Linked DNA regions of Ovis aries. The protein of the gene in region 1 binds, or shares a complex with, the protein of each later gene. Links are inferred from orthologs where the notes say so. Each region holds a gene or a part of one and is shown in the gene's direction. Other genes may lie near its edges.

Region 1 (3,355 bases):
TACTCTGCACCATCAGCCAACCCACTGGCCCCTTTTCCATTCTCAGACTCACTTTGGCTGCACTCGCAATGTCCACAGCCTCCACGATGTCAGCCTGGCGAATCTTTGCCGTGTCCTCCCCATCCTCTCCTTCCAGAAACCTGCAAGTGAGCGTGAGAGTTGCATTAAAGCTTCCTAATAAGAAGTGGGTATCCCAGCATCACAATCAGAAATTAGAGCCCCATAAATCAGGGATTGGGGAGGCCCACATCAGGGTCCACTCACCCAGGTTCTTCAGCAAGCAGAAGCTCAGATCGAGCAGCTCTGACACTTGTTTCCTCTTCTTGTGCTTCAGCCACCGCAAGTCGGCTTCGTGTCTTGGTCTTCGCATGTGGTAGCTAAAACAGCGGTGAGAGATGAAGTGAGAGAAGGACCAAGGGATGCGGGGGTCACAGGAGAGCCCCGCCTCCATTCAACTCACCCAGACACTCCCTCCTGCAACCGCTCCCCACTCTCCGACTAGCCCTCACCTCCTTGGATTTGTCAATGCGACAGTACTTCCGAACCACCTCCACACTGACAGGGGCGGGGCCTGCAAATGGGTCCTGGGCCTGCGGCAGGGAGGAGGCAATTAAGAAACAGGCTCGAGCTGACCCCAACCCCCCGACCCTGAAAGCACAAGGCGACTTGCCTCGGCACCCCGGGAGGTCCCAGGCTCACCCCAGAAAAGGTCCGCTGAGGCCCCGGACTCTTCAGTTCTCGGGGTTTCTTGGAGATCCGAAACTTCTTTGAGGTGTCATTTCTCTTTGGCTTCTGGGGGCGGAGCTCTCGACTCCTCTTCCGTTTATGAGGGGGACCTGGAGAAGCTCCGGCCGCAGTCCCAGTGGTCTCTTGCTCCCAGTATCGCCGCGGTTTCTACCAACAGAGCAGGATCCCTCGTATTCCGCTGCCCTTCGCCCCGCCCCTCGAACCCCGCAAATAAAAACTTCCTTTCCACCCCAAGGAGATCCCTACCTTCTTCTTGGCTTGCAGTCTGTCCTTCTTGGGTGGAACATTACTGCCCGGCTTGGGGACTGTCTCCATCTAGCCCACTCGAACCACGATCCACGTGCAAACTCCTCTCCACAGTCCCACAGTGTGATGGAAAACTCCCGGAAGTCCTCCGAGACTCATCCAATCAGCGCCGTTCCAGGTCTGAAGCCTCCTAGGCGCCATCTTTAATGAGGGCGCGCTCCCCACTGAGGGGCGGGACCAAGGCCCCCAGTGCGGCAACTTATGCCCAAGTGATGAAAGACGGGCAGTCCGAGGCCAAGACCCAAGCAACCCTGCAGTTTCTTTTCCCATCTCGGTTTCTCCATCTTGCCTTAAATCCTTCCGCTTCTGGTCTTTTTAGCAGAACGCCACACATTGACCATATTAGAACTACATTTCCCGGCGTGCGCCGGCTCACAGCTTCCGGTGCCGTCTTTCCCCAGCATTCTCTATTTACTTCCGGGTTCACCAATACTGAAGTGAGAGCGTGAGTAGGGGAGCGGTTCGGCTGAGGAGTTCGGGGTACTGCCACTCCCTGAGGCTGGGGGTGAGTCGATATCCCGGACCAGGAGAGACTGCAGTGGGTGGCCCGAGGGGCTGCCTCTCAAGAGGGCTGTCACCTCCGCAGGCCAGAAAGGGGAGCCCGGGTACCTTCCAGAGCGTGAGACCCAGCGCCCCTCTCCCGCTGCCCGCAGGCTTTCGTCCCCGCCATGGCTGAGCTAATCCAGAAGAAGCTGCAGGGGGAAGTGGAGAAATATCAACAGCTGCAGAAGGGTAAGGGAGCAGGGTAGGGGTGACCTCGCGGCAATTCACTCACAACCTGTCTATACCCGAATAATGTATTCTGTCCCACCTCTGGCCCCAGCCTGCGGCTCCTTCCCCTTCTCTGTAGTCTTCCCATTCCCTGTCCCGCCTGCTCATCCTTGCCTGCTTCCTCAGCTCCGCCTTCTTACCAGGACTGTGGTGGTCGGGTGGCACATGAGATGTCTCTAAACAAACCTTTTCATCCGGCAGACTTGAGTAAATCCATGTCAGGGAGGCAGAAACTAGAGGCACAACTAACAGAAAATAATATCGTGAAGGAGGTGAGAGACTGAGATTTGTGGGGCGAGGGGGGACCTGTCTTGGAAGTGATTCTGATGTTTTTCCCACTCCTCCACCAGGAACTGGCCCTGCTGGATGGGTCCAACGTGGTGTTTAAACTTCTGGGGCCCGTGTTGGTCAAACAGGAGCTGGGGGAAGCTCGGGCCACAGTGGGGAAAAGGCTGGACTACATCACAGCTGAGATGTGAGTCTTCCTTCCACCCCACTGTGTTATACTTGATCCGTTGGGAATAAAGGTGCTGAGAAACCTTTCTAGAGTCATTCTCCAGAGCAGCCCCCATTTGAGCAGGTTCTTCAACTCCTTCCTGTGTCCTTCAACTCCTTCCCTTTTCTTCATACTCCCCTTAGAGCTCAAGTTTCTGACCAATCTTGTCTTCAGCACCCTCAAGAGTAAGTCTCACTAATTTCTCATTTGCTTTTTTGCCCTTCCTCAGTAAGCGGTATGAATCCCAGCTCCGAGACCTAGAGCAGCAGTCAGAACAACAGAGGGAGACCCTGGCTCAGCTGCAGCAGGAGTTTCAGAGGGCGCAGGCGGCAAAGGCAGGGGCTCCTGGGAAAGCCTGACCCTGTCCTGGGGGGGTGGGCGGGGGGAGGAATGCGGCAGCTCTAGGGTCTATACTGTAGCTAATAAAATGTGAAAATACCTGGCGTGTTCTGACCAGCCACTTCTGTTGTAACTGTCTCCATCCTTTCCTCTGGTCCCTTCTCCCTCACCCCTATATCACCTGCATTACTCTCTTAGATCCAAATTTGTGCACTGAAATTTGTGTGTGGCAGAGTAACCCTTCTTTCTTGAGACTAAACTCCGAAATGTCTCAAACCTAATCCTTGCCTGTACATGCAAGCCTTAACTCTCTCTTCTCTTGATTGGAAGCAACCAAGAAAAGGGCATTGACAGTGAAACAATTTGGGGGAAAGTTAAGTTTCATTGAAAAACTCACAATTCTCTAACCTGCAGTCCCAGAATGGAACATGGTAATCCTCTTTTGCTATGATTTCTTGTCATCCTCAGAATAGCCCTGGCATCTTAGTTCTTTTTAGTCTCTTTTCTTCCTAGACTTTGTTTAAATGTAGCTTAAATTGGATTTCATATCCCAGCACATAATGCATTGTGATATTCTGAGACCTCCAAGTTTGTACATTGTCCACGAAGTGGTTCTTCCATTTCTTTGTCCTAACATTGTCTTAGGAATTCAGAGCCAAGGGTGTTTTTCATACTGATGGCTTTAATTGGGTACTT
Region 2 (4,115 bases), on another chromosome or scaffold:
CCCATGAAGTGGGAAGTGATGGGACCAGATGCCATGATCTTCGTTTTCTGAATGTTGAGCTTTAAGCCAACTTTTTCACTGTCCTCTTTCACTTTCATCAAGAGGCTTTTGAGTTCCTCTTCACTTTCTGCCATAAGGGTGGTGTCATCTGCATATCTGAGGTTATTGATATTTCTCCCGGGAATCTATTCCAGCTTGTGCTTCTTCCAGTCCAGCATTTCTCATGATGTACTCTGCATAGAAGTTAAATAAGCAGGGTGACAATATACAGCCTTGATGTACTCCTTTTCCTATTTAGAACAAGTCTGTTGTTCCATGTCCAGTTCTAATTGTTGCTTCCTGACCTGCATATAGGTTTCTCAAGAGGCAGGTCAGGTGGTCTGTATTCCCATCTCTTGAAGAATTTTCCAGTTTACTGTGATCCACAGAGAGGCTTTGGCATAGTCAATAAAGCAGAAATAGATGGTTTCCTGGAACTCTCTTGTTTTTTCAGTGATCCAGCGGATGTTGGCAATTTGATCTCTGGTTCCTCTACCTTTTCTAATACCAGCTTGAACATCTGGAAGTTCACGGTTCATGTATTGCTGAAGCCTGGCTTGGAGAATTTTAAGCGTGTGAGATGAGTGCAATTGTGTGGTAATTTGAGCATTCTTTGGCATTGCCTTTCTTTGGGATTGGAATGAAAACTGACCTTTTCCAGTCCTGTGGCCACTGCTGAGTTCTCCAAATTTGCTGGCATATTAAGTGCATCACTTTCACAGCATCATCTTTCAGGATTTGAGATAGCTCAACTGGAATGCCATCACCTCCACTAGCTTTTTCGCAGTGATGCTTTCTAAGGCCCACTTGACTTCACATTCCAGGATGTCTGGCTCTAGGTGAGTGATCATACCATCGTGATAACCTTGGTTTTTTCCTAGATAATAAATATTAAGCGGTGTTTCTACTGAGCTTCTATTCTTCATAGTCACCACTAGGGGGCGCATATAATTTACAGTCTACTAGATGCCACAGGGTAAAGAGCGTTTCAACATCCCAACCGCTAGGGTCCGTTCGGGCCCCTAACTTGTGCGCACGCGCGCGAGTACTCCTAGCCCAGATCCGGCCTGCGCAGGCGTTCCAGTGAGCACGCAGACGCCGTTGATAGGACTCACCGGAAATTGAAAGGGAGGGGCTGGGCCGCGGGGAGCGCAGACGCGCAGGGGCTGCGGACGCGGAACTGCTGGGGTGCCGCCCGGCCTCGCGCCCTGCCTGTTTGCTTCTCCGCGGAGATGCCCAGCCGGGGTGAGCGACCCGAGGACGGCGCTGGGCCCGTCCCTGCTGAGAGCTCGACCCTGCACAAGGACGAGCTCAGCAGCAAGGTGAGTGCGGGACGAGGTAACATGGCCCTCGGGCTGCTCACCGCCGGAGACGAGCCTCGGTGGCCGCGTGCTCTAGTCTCGACTTTGCCCTGCTGCGAGAGGCACAGTTAAAGGGACACCTTGAAACTTGCCCCGAGATTAGACCCAGATGGTAGTAAGGCGGAAGTTTAGTTGGTTTTATTTTATCAATTTTTAACATATTTTAAAGTATCATACAGTAAAATTTGGCTCTTTTTCGTTTTCTCTGTATTTAACACGTGTCTAAATTTGTGTGACCACCGCCACAATTGGAATATAGACAAGTTCCACGACCCTGAAAGACTCCCTTTATAGGCATGCTCTCCCCCGCCCAGAACCTCTGGCCGTCCCTGATCTGCTCTACATCAGGACAGTTTTATCCTTCCCAGCACATCATGTAGTGAAATCACAGCTTATGCCTCTCCAAGCTTAATGTCTTTGAGATTCACGGTTGGATTTTTTTCTATGTATTCTTAGTTAAAACTTTTAGAAATTACCTCCCACCCTAGATCTGCTGCCTGCGGTCTCAGAAAATGTCAGCGCCATCCATGCAGTTGTCCATGCCAGTAACCTGGGAGCCCATCTTTGCATCCGTCACGAAGTTCTGTCCTTTGTAAGGTGTCCCTTTATCACTGTGTACACTTTTAACCATCTTAAACCCGCCCCTTGCATGTGCCATAGGGAATCCTGCAAAAGTTTCCTAACTGGTCTCTCCTTAGCCATTGTTGCCTTCTTCTCCCCTATCCTTCATTTAGCTGGAGCGGAGAAGGCAGTGGCACCCCACTCCAGTACTCTTACCTGGAAAATCCCATGGATGGAGGAGCCTGGTGGGCTGCAGTCCATGGGGTCGCTAAGAGTCAGACAGGACTGAGCAACTTCACTTTCACTTTTCACTTTAATGCATTGGAGAAGGAAATGGCAACCCACTCCAGCGTTCTTGCCTGGAGAATCCCAGGGATGGGGGAGCCTAGTGGGCTGCCGTCTCTGGGGTCTCACAGAGTCGGACACGACTGAAGCGACCTAGCAGTAGCAGCAGCAGCATGCTCCTAAAAATGTTATTTCATTGTTGCTCTTCTGCTCCTCCCCTCACAAAAGGGAGCCAATATAAGGCCATAAATGGAAAAAAGAAAAAAAATTTTTTTAACATTTGAAATGAGGATGGCTATAATCTTTCAGGTAATAGATGTCTAAGATAATACTTTGGTTCTGTCCCAAACTGACACTGGCATCTTGGGCACATCTCTGATTCCTCTGTTACAGTTTCCTTGTCTGAAGTTCTAAAGTATACCTACCATTCCTAAAATGAATGGGAAAGTGCTATTCAAACATAAGCCTTAAAAGGAAGTTGTACAAATTCAGTCTTGGAATTCAACTCAATCTCTGTAATCAGTCACTACAGTGACTGGCAGCTGGAAAGCAGAAGGGTACACATCTGTGGGGAATGAATTTTCAGACTGCACACAGCCTGCTCTGATTCCTACCATAGCATGCCCTTTACTCTTGCCTGGTGGGCTCCTCCATGGGGTTGCAAAGAGTCGGACACGACTAAGCGACTTCTTTCACTTTTCACTTTCATGCATTGGAGAAGGAAATGGCAACCCACTCCAGTGTTCTTGCCTGGAGAATCCCAGGGACGGCGGTGCCTGGTGGGCTGCCATCTCTGGGGTCGCACAGGATGGGACACGACTGAAGCGACTTAGCAGCAGCAGCATGCCACTTATACTGATGTATGACAGATCCCCAGGCATCAGAGGTTACAAAATAACACTGTTTAGAGGCTATGGTGACACTGTGTAATCAATCATGTTTGCAGTATCACTATCATTACTGAAAAGAGTTTAAAAGAAATTTAGTTTCCATTTAGTTGAGCCCTGCTACTGCTAAGTCACTTCAGTCGTGTCCGACTCGGTGCAACCCCATAGATGGCAGCCCACCAGGCTCCCCCATCCCTGGGGTTCTCCAGGCAAGAACACTGGAGTGGGTAGCTATTTCCTTCTCCAGTGCATGAAAGTGAAAAGTGAAAGTGAAGTCGTTCAGTCGTGGCCAACTCTTAGTGACCCCATGGACTGCAGCCTACCAGGCTCCTCTGTCCATGGGATTTTCCAGGCAAGAGTACGGGCTCTTATTGAGCATGCTTTGATAATCTCTGATTTAGTACGTTTTCTTTATTTCAATAGATTAAAGAACAAAAAGTTGTTGTGGATGAACTTTCTAACCTGAAGAAGAACAGGGTGAGTTATTAGCATTACTCTGAATACTATGTGGGAGGATTTGATATCAACTGTATAAATCTATGTATTAATCATAGTTGCTGATAATCTTTCCCCAACATATGCAATTGACATTACCTGCGAATCAAATGATACTGATTGTACTATGTTATCCTGGAGCTTTAGTCAATAATGGTATTTATTTTGTACTTGAATTTGGTGTATTCTTTTGACATAAACATTGAATCTGTTGAGAAGAGGAGAAGCTATACAAGTGAATGTGGATAATTATTTTTTGTTTGTTTATTTTTTAAAAAAGATAAATGCTACCACCTCCTCTCCCTACCTCCTCAGGTTTTTACTCCAAGCTTCCAAATCCTTAACGTGGTTATTTAACTCCATTTTCATTAATGTATTTATAGATAAGCAAGCTTCTGCTTAGTGTGTCATTATACTGCCAAACATTGTGTTTTAAAGTTAAGAAATGATTTGAGCCCTTTAAAGCTTTTAAAGGTTACTGGATAAC
Region 3 (4,326 bases), on another chromosome or scaffold:
ATGAATCCTTAAAATGGAAGATATAATTAATTTTGGTCACTGATTCGAATGCACAATTGGAATCCACAGGAAAAAAAACCCCATCTATTAATTTTAATTGTCCACCTCCTAGACTGACATCATGGAATGAATAAACAAATATTTTTACGTAATTTACACTTACTCTCAAAACTTATTTTTTCCTAAAAAGTAACACTAAAATATAGTATCTGTACTACAGCAAGTACTTCGGCTGCTCATTTACATACTTCTATTGACGATAACCTCTTTATTAACCCTTTAATCAATCAACACAGAACACTTTAAAATGTGCTGAAACGCAGCTGGTAGTTTAGTTTAGTTTCAGGTCAAACTGGAAGAAACTCATTCAACAAGGTAAGTCCCACTAAGAATTCCTAGAAAGTCTGTTCTTTCTTCCTAGGACAGAAAAACCTCGGCATATTTTAAAGTGGTTAATAGTCTCCTTACTCTGATTTCAACATTCCTCGATTTCAAGTTAAAGCGTATCTGAAGTCCCAAATGCTCCACAATAGGAGTAAATATCTTCAGCCAGTTCTCTTTTAGTGGCGTGTATCTGTTAGCTGGGACTGGAATTTTCCTGGTTTCTTCTTTCCCATTCTACGACAAAAGAAAACACAACTCAGCAGTTGTTTAAAGGAATGAGGGTGAAGTTGTAACGACAACTGATCCTCAAAAAGCCTCCTTTAATTGGACAGATTAAACACCAGGAGAGTCGCCGCTCTGAGCTTCACTCCAGAAAAAGCGTCATCACCCAGAGGCCACCGGGCCGACCCGTCTCTGGCCCCAGCCCCGTTCCTGTTCCTCGGTCCCAGCCAGTACCAGGAACCCGTCCCCGGAGAGGGGCGGGAAGACGGGCCTCTTAGCGGGTCGAGCTTCCTCGGTGTCCATGCAGGTCGCGTCGCCTCCCTCCTCCGGCGTGGACGGCTGCTCAGCCTGCCGTTTCTTCGCCCGCCGGCCACCTTTGCGGGTGACCTGACTGAAGCCGTCCTCGGCCAACGGGCTCTGTGCCTCCATCACGCTTTCCATTCTCCAGAGCCTCCAGCCCCAACCTCAGCTTCCAGCTTCAACACGTGCGAGGCTGTACCGCGCAGGCGCGCCTCACAGGCCCCCAACCTCCGCCAACCAGCCCCAGGGCTCCGCCCTCTTTCCTAAGACGTCCCATGCGGGGGACCTAAAGCGGGAGTTTCTGCGTGTTTGTTGGTGAGGAGGGAGGGCTGTCCTAAAATATGCCTGATTCTTAGGTTCGCCCTCTGCCCACACCTCTCGCAGTCAGCGCGCTTTATAACCCATAATCTGTATCTGTACGAAAGGCACTAGGTAAAGCCATAACAAGTTTGTGTTGTTGGGGAAGGAAACTCTTGTGGGCCTGCACTAGAGCATCCGGCATTATCTGAGAAACCTAAAACTGCTTGTTAGGTTTCTAGGGGCGCCTACGGCAGGCGGGAGGGACAAACTATCCGTAACGTTTGGACTCTGGTTTCCAGGTTTGTTTCGTCAGGGTTTGTTGGCTGTGTCCCGCTTGGCGGAGGCGAAATCTCTCGGCTGGACCATGTCGGCCTTTGAGAAGCCTCAGATCATCTCGCATATCCAGAAGAGCCTCAATTACACGGTGTTTGACTGTAAGTGGATGCCCTGCAGCGCCAAATTTGTGACCATGGGCAACTTCGCACGGGGCACCGGCGTCATTCAGCTGTACGAGATCCAGCAAGGGGACCTAAAGCTGCTGCGGGAGGTGGGTGCCGGGTCGAGACCTCCCAGTTCCAAAATCTGGGACTGCTCCTGGAGGGGAGTGCGGATCTTGGGGGCGGGAGTTCTGCGTTCCTTTTTGCCAAAGCCTTTGTCCAGCGTCCCCCCAAAGCGGTGCTGAAACTGCGCGGGAGTAGCGAATCTGACCGCAGACTGAGGAATAATTCCGACGTAAAACGCTTTCGTTCGAGACCTGAATTCTCATCGGGCTAATTCATTCCTGCTTTGCTGGTCCCTTCCTCCAGCCATCCCCACCCTTCTCCCAGTCCAGTGCGAGGTCCCTGGAGGTGACGTTATAACTTCACGTTTAAATTCGAGGCGTTTCTGGGCAGTGCGCATTTGTTTGTGGAGAGTCTTTTTTTCTTTTTATTTTTTGAATGTTATTTTTAATATAAATTTATTTATTTTAATTAGAGGCTAATTACTTTACAATATTGTATTGGTTTTGCCATACATCAACATGAATCCGCCACGGGTGTACACGTGTTCCCCATCCTGAACCCCCCTCCCACCTCCCTCCCCGTACCATCCCTCTCGGTCATCCCAGTGCACTAGCCCCAAGCATCCTGTATCATGCATGGAACCTGGACTGGCGATTCGTTTCATATATGATATTATACATCTTTCAATGCCATTCTCCCAAATCATCCCACCCTCTCCCTCTCCCACAGAGTCCAAAAGACTGTTCTATACATCTGTGTCTCTTGCTGTCTCGCATACAGAGTTATCGTTACCATCTTTCTAAATTCCATATATATGCGTTAGTATACTGTATTGATGTTTTTCTTTCCGGCTTACTTCACTGTGTATAATAGGCTCCAGTTTCATCCACCTTATCAGAACTGATTCAAATGTATTCTTTTTAATGGCTGAGTAATACTCCATTGTGTATATGTACCACAGCTTTCTTATCCATTCATCTGCTGATGGACATCTAGGTTGCTTCCATGTCCTGGCTATTATAAACAGTGCTGCGATGAACATTGGGGTACACGTGTCTCTTTCAATTCTGGTTTCCTCGGTGTGTATGCCCAGCAGTGGGATTGCTGGGTCATAAGGCAGTTCTTGGAGAAGGCAGTGGCACCCCGCTCCAGTACTCTTGCCTGGAAAATCCCATGGGTGGAGAAGCCTGGAAGGCTGCAGTCCATGGGGTCGAGAAGTGTGGGACACAACTGAGCGACTTCCCTTTCACTTTTCACTTTCATGCATTGGAGAAGGAAATGGCAACCCACTCCAGTGTTCTTGCCTGGAGAATCCCAGGGATGGGGGAGCCTGGTGGGCTTCCATCTATGGGGTCACACAGAGTTGGACACGACTGAAGCGACTTAGCAGTACCAGAAGGCAGTTCTATTTCCAGTTTTTTAAGGAATCTCCACACTGTTCTCCATAGTGGCTGTACTAGTTTGCATTCCCACCAACAGTGTAAGAGGGTTCCCTTTTCTCCACACCTTCTCCAGCATTTATTGCTTATAGACTTTTGGATCGCAGCCATTCTGACTGGCGTGAAATGGTACCTCATTGTGGTTTTGATTTACATTTCTCTGATAATGAGTGATGTTGAGCATCTTTTCATGTGTTTGTTAGCCATCTGTATGTCTTCTTTGGAAAAATGTCTGTTTAGTTCTTTGGCCCATTTTTTGATTGGGTCGTTTATTTTTCTGGAATTGAGCTGCAAGAGTTGCTTGTATATTTTTGAGATTAGTTCTTTATCTGTGGAGAGTCTTTTAATGGGTCCAAGATAGTAAAATACTTGGTCATACAAGCAGAGCCAAAGCAGGCACTAGGATGCCTACTATGTAATTGGAGGAGACAATCCAAAACAATTATTCTTTCAACAAGTGTCAGTTGATTGCCTGGTATTCTCCAGCTAGTAAATGACAGACAATGTCCCTGATTACTATGGAGTTTTTTTTTCCTAGTGGGAGAGAGAATCAATTAAATAATCAAACTAACAATACATAAAACACAAACTGAGATGAATTCTCTAATGTAAAGGCACATGGTTCTATGAGAGTAAAAACAAAACCAGAAAACCAGATTTGCATTGAGTAAAAGCTAAGTAGGTCAAATTAGGAGTTGAGATTTCCAAGAGGAAACAGCTCAGCAATGAGGGAGAGAGATTATCTCCTTTTGGAACAAAACAGCAGAGAGGAGGCCTTGCAAATGCTGTAGATCATTTAAAAGATTTGTGCCTGTTTTTGTAAGAAAAATGGGACTTCAGTGAAGGGCTTTATGCAGGGTGTGGCAAGGTTAGGTTTACAAGTTTTGTAAAGATTACACTAATGGAAGAATTGGAGAATAAGGATATTAACTAACATTTTTATATCTGTTTACTAGTTTTTAAATGCCTTTAGAGCACTCCAGGACTCTTGCCTGGAAAATCCCATGGACGGAGGAGCCTGGTAGGCTGCAGTCCATGGGGTCGCTGGGAGTCGGACACGACTGAGTGACTTCATTTTCACTTTTCACTTTCATGCATTGGAGAAGGAAATGGCAACCCACTCCAGTGTTCTTGCCTGGAGAATCCCAGGGACAGGGGAATCTGTTGGGCTGCCGTCT

What was found.
Region 2: PFDN6 (region 1) and ASDURF share a complex: the UniProt entries of both Homo sapiens proteins name them as parts of the PAQosome complex. The link is inferred for Ovis aries from reciprocal best matches to the Homo sapiens genes PFDN6 and ASDURF.
Region 3: PFDN6 (region 1) and DNAAF10 share a complex: the UniProt entries of both Homo sapiens proteins name them as parts of the PAQosome complex. The link is inferred for Ovis aries from reciprocal best matches to the Homo sapiens genes PFDN6 and DNAAF10.

What each region holds. Positions count from the first base shown.
Region 1 is NC_056073.1:7,615,297-7,618,651, forward strand, and holds PFDN6 (prefoldin subunit 6), read left to right. Parts: upstream 1-1,466; 5' UTR 1,467-1,498; exon of another isoform or gene 1,499-1,558; intron 1,559-1,639; 5' UTR 1,640-1,721; coding exon 1,722-1,785; intron 1,786-2,025; coding exon 2,026-2,096; intron 2,097-2,174; coding exon 2,175-2,299; intron 2,300-2,549; coding exon 2,550-2,679; 3' UTR 2,680-2,759; downstream 2,760-3,355. Other genes in the region: WDR46 (WD repeat-containing protein 46), read right to left, coding at 53-140, 265-377, 510-590, 700-894, 994-1,062. UniProt on the Homo sapiens protein: Binds specifically to cytosolic chaperonin (c-CPN) and transfers target proteins to it. Binds to nascent polypeptide chain and promotes folding in an environment in which there are many competing pathways for nonnative proteins.
Region 2 is NC_056055.1:119,675,997-119,680,111, reverse strand, and holds the start of ASDURF (ASNSD1 upstream open reading frame protein), read left to right. Parts: upstream 1-1,192; 5' UTR 1,193-1,271; coding exon 1,272-1,361; intron 1,362-3,556; coding exon 3,557-3,610; intron 3,611-4,115.
Region 3 is NC_056056.1:40,164,446-40,168,771, forward strand, and holds the start of DNAAF10 (dynein axonemal assembly factor 10), read left to right. Parts: upstream 1-1,471; 5' UTR 1,472-1,570; coding exon 1,571-1,753; intron 1,754-4,326. Other genes in the region: RNA-binding protein PNO1, read right to left, coding at 469-618, 841-1,047. UniProt on the Homo sapiens protein: Key assembly factor specifically required for the stability of axonemal dynein heavy chains in cytoplasm.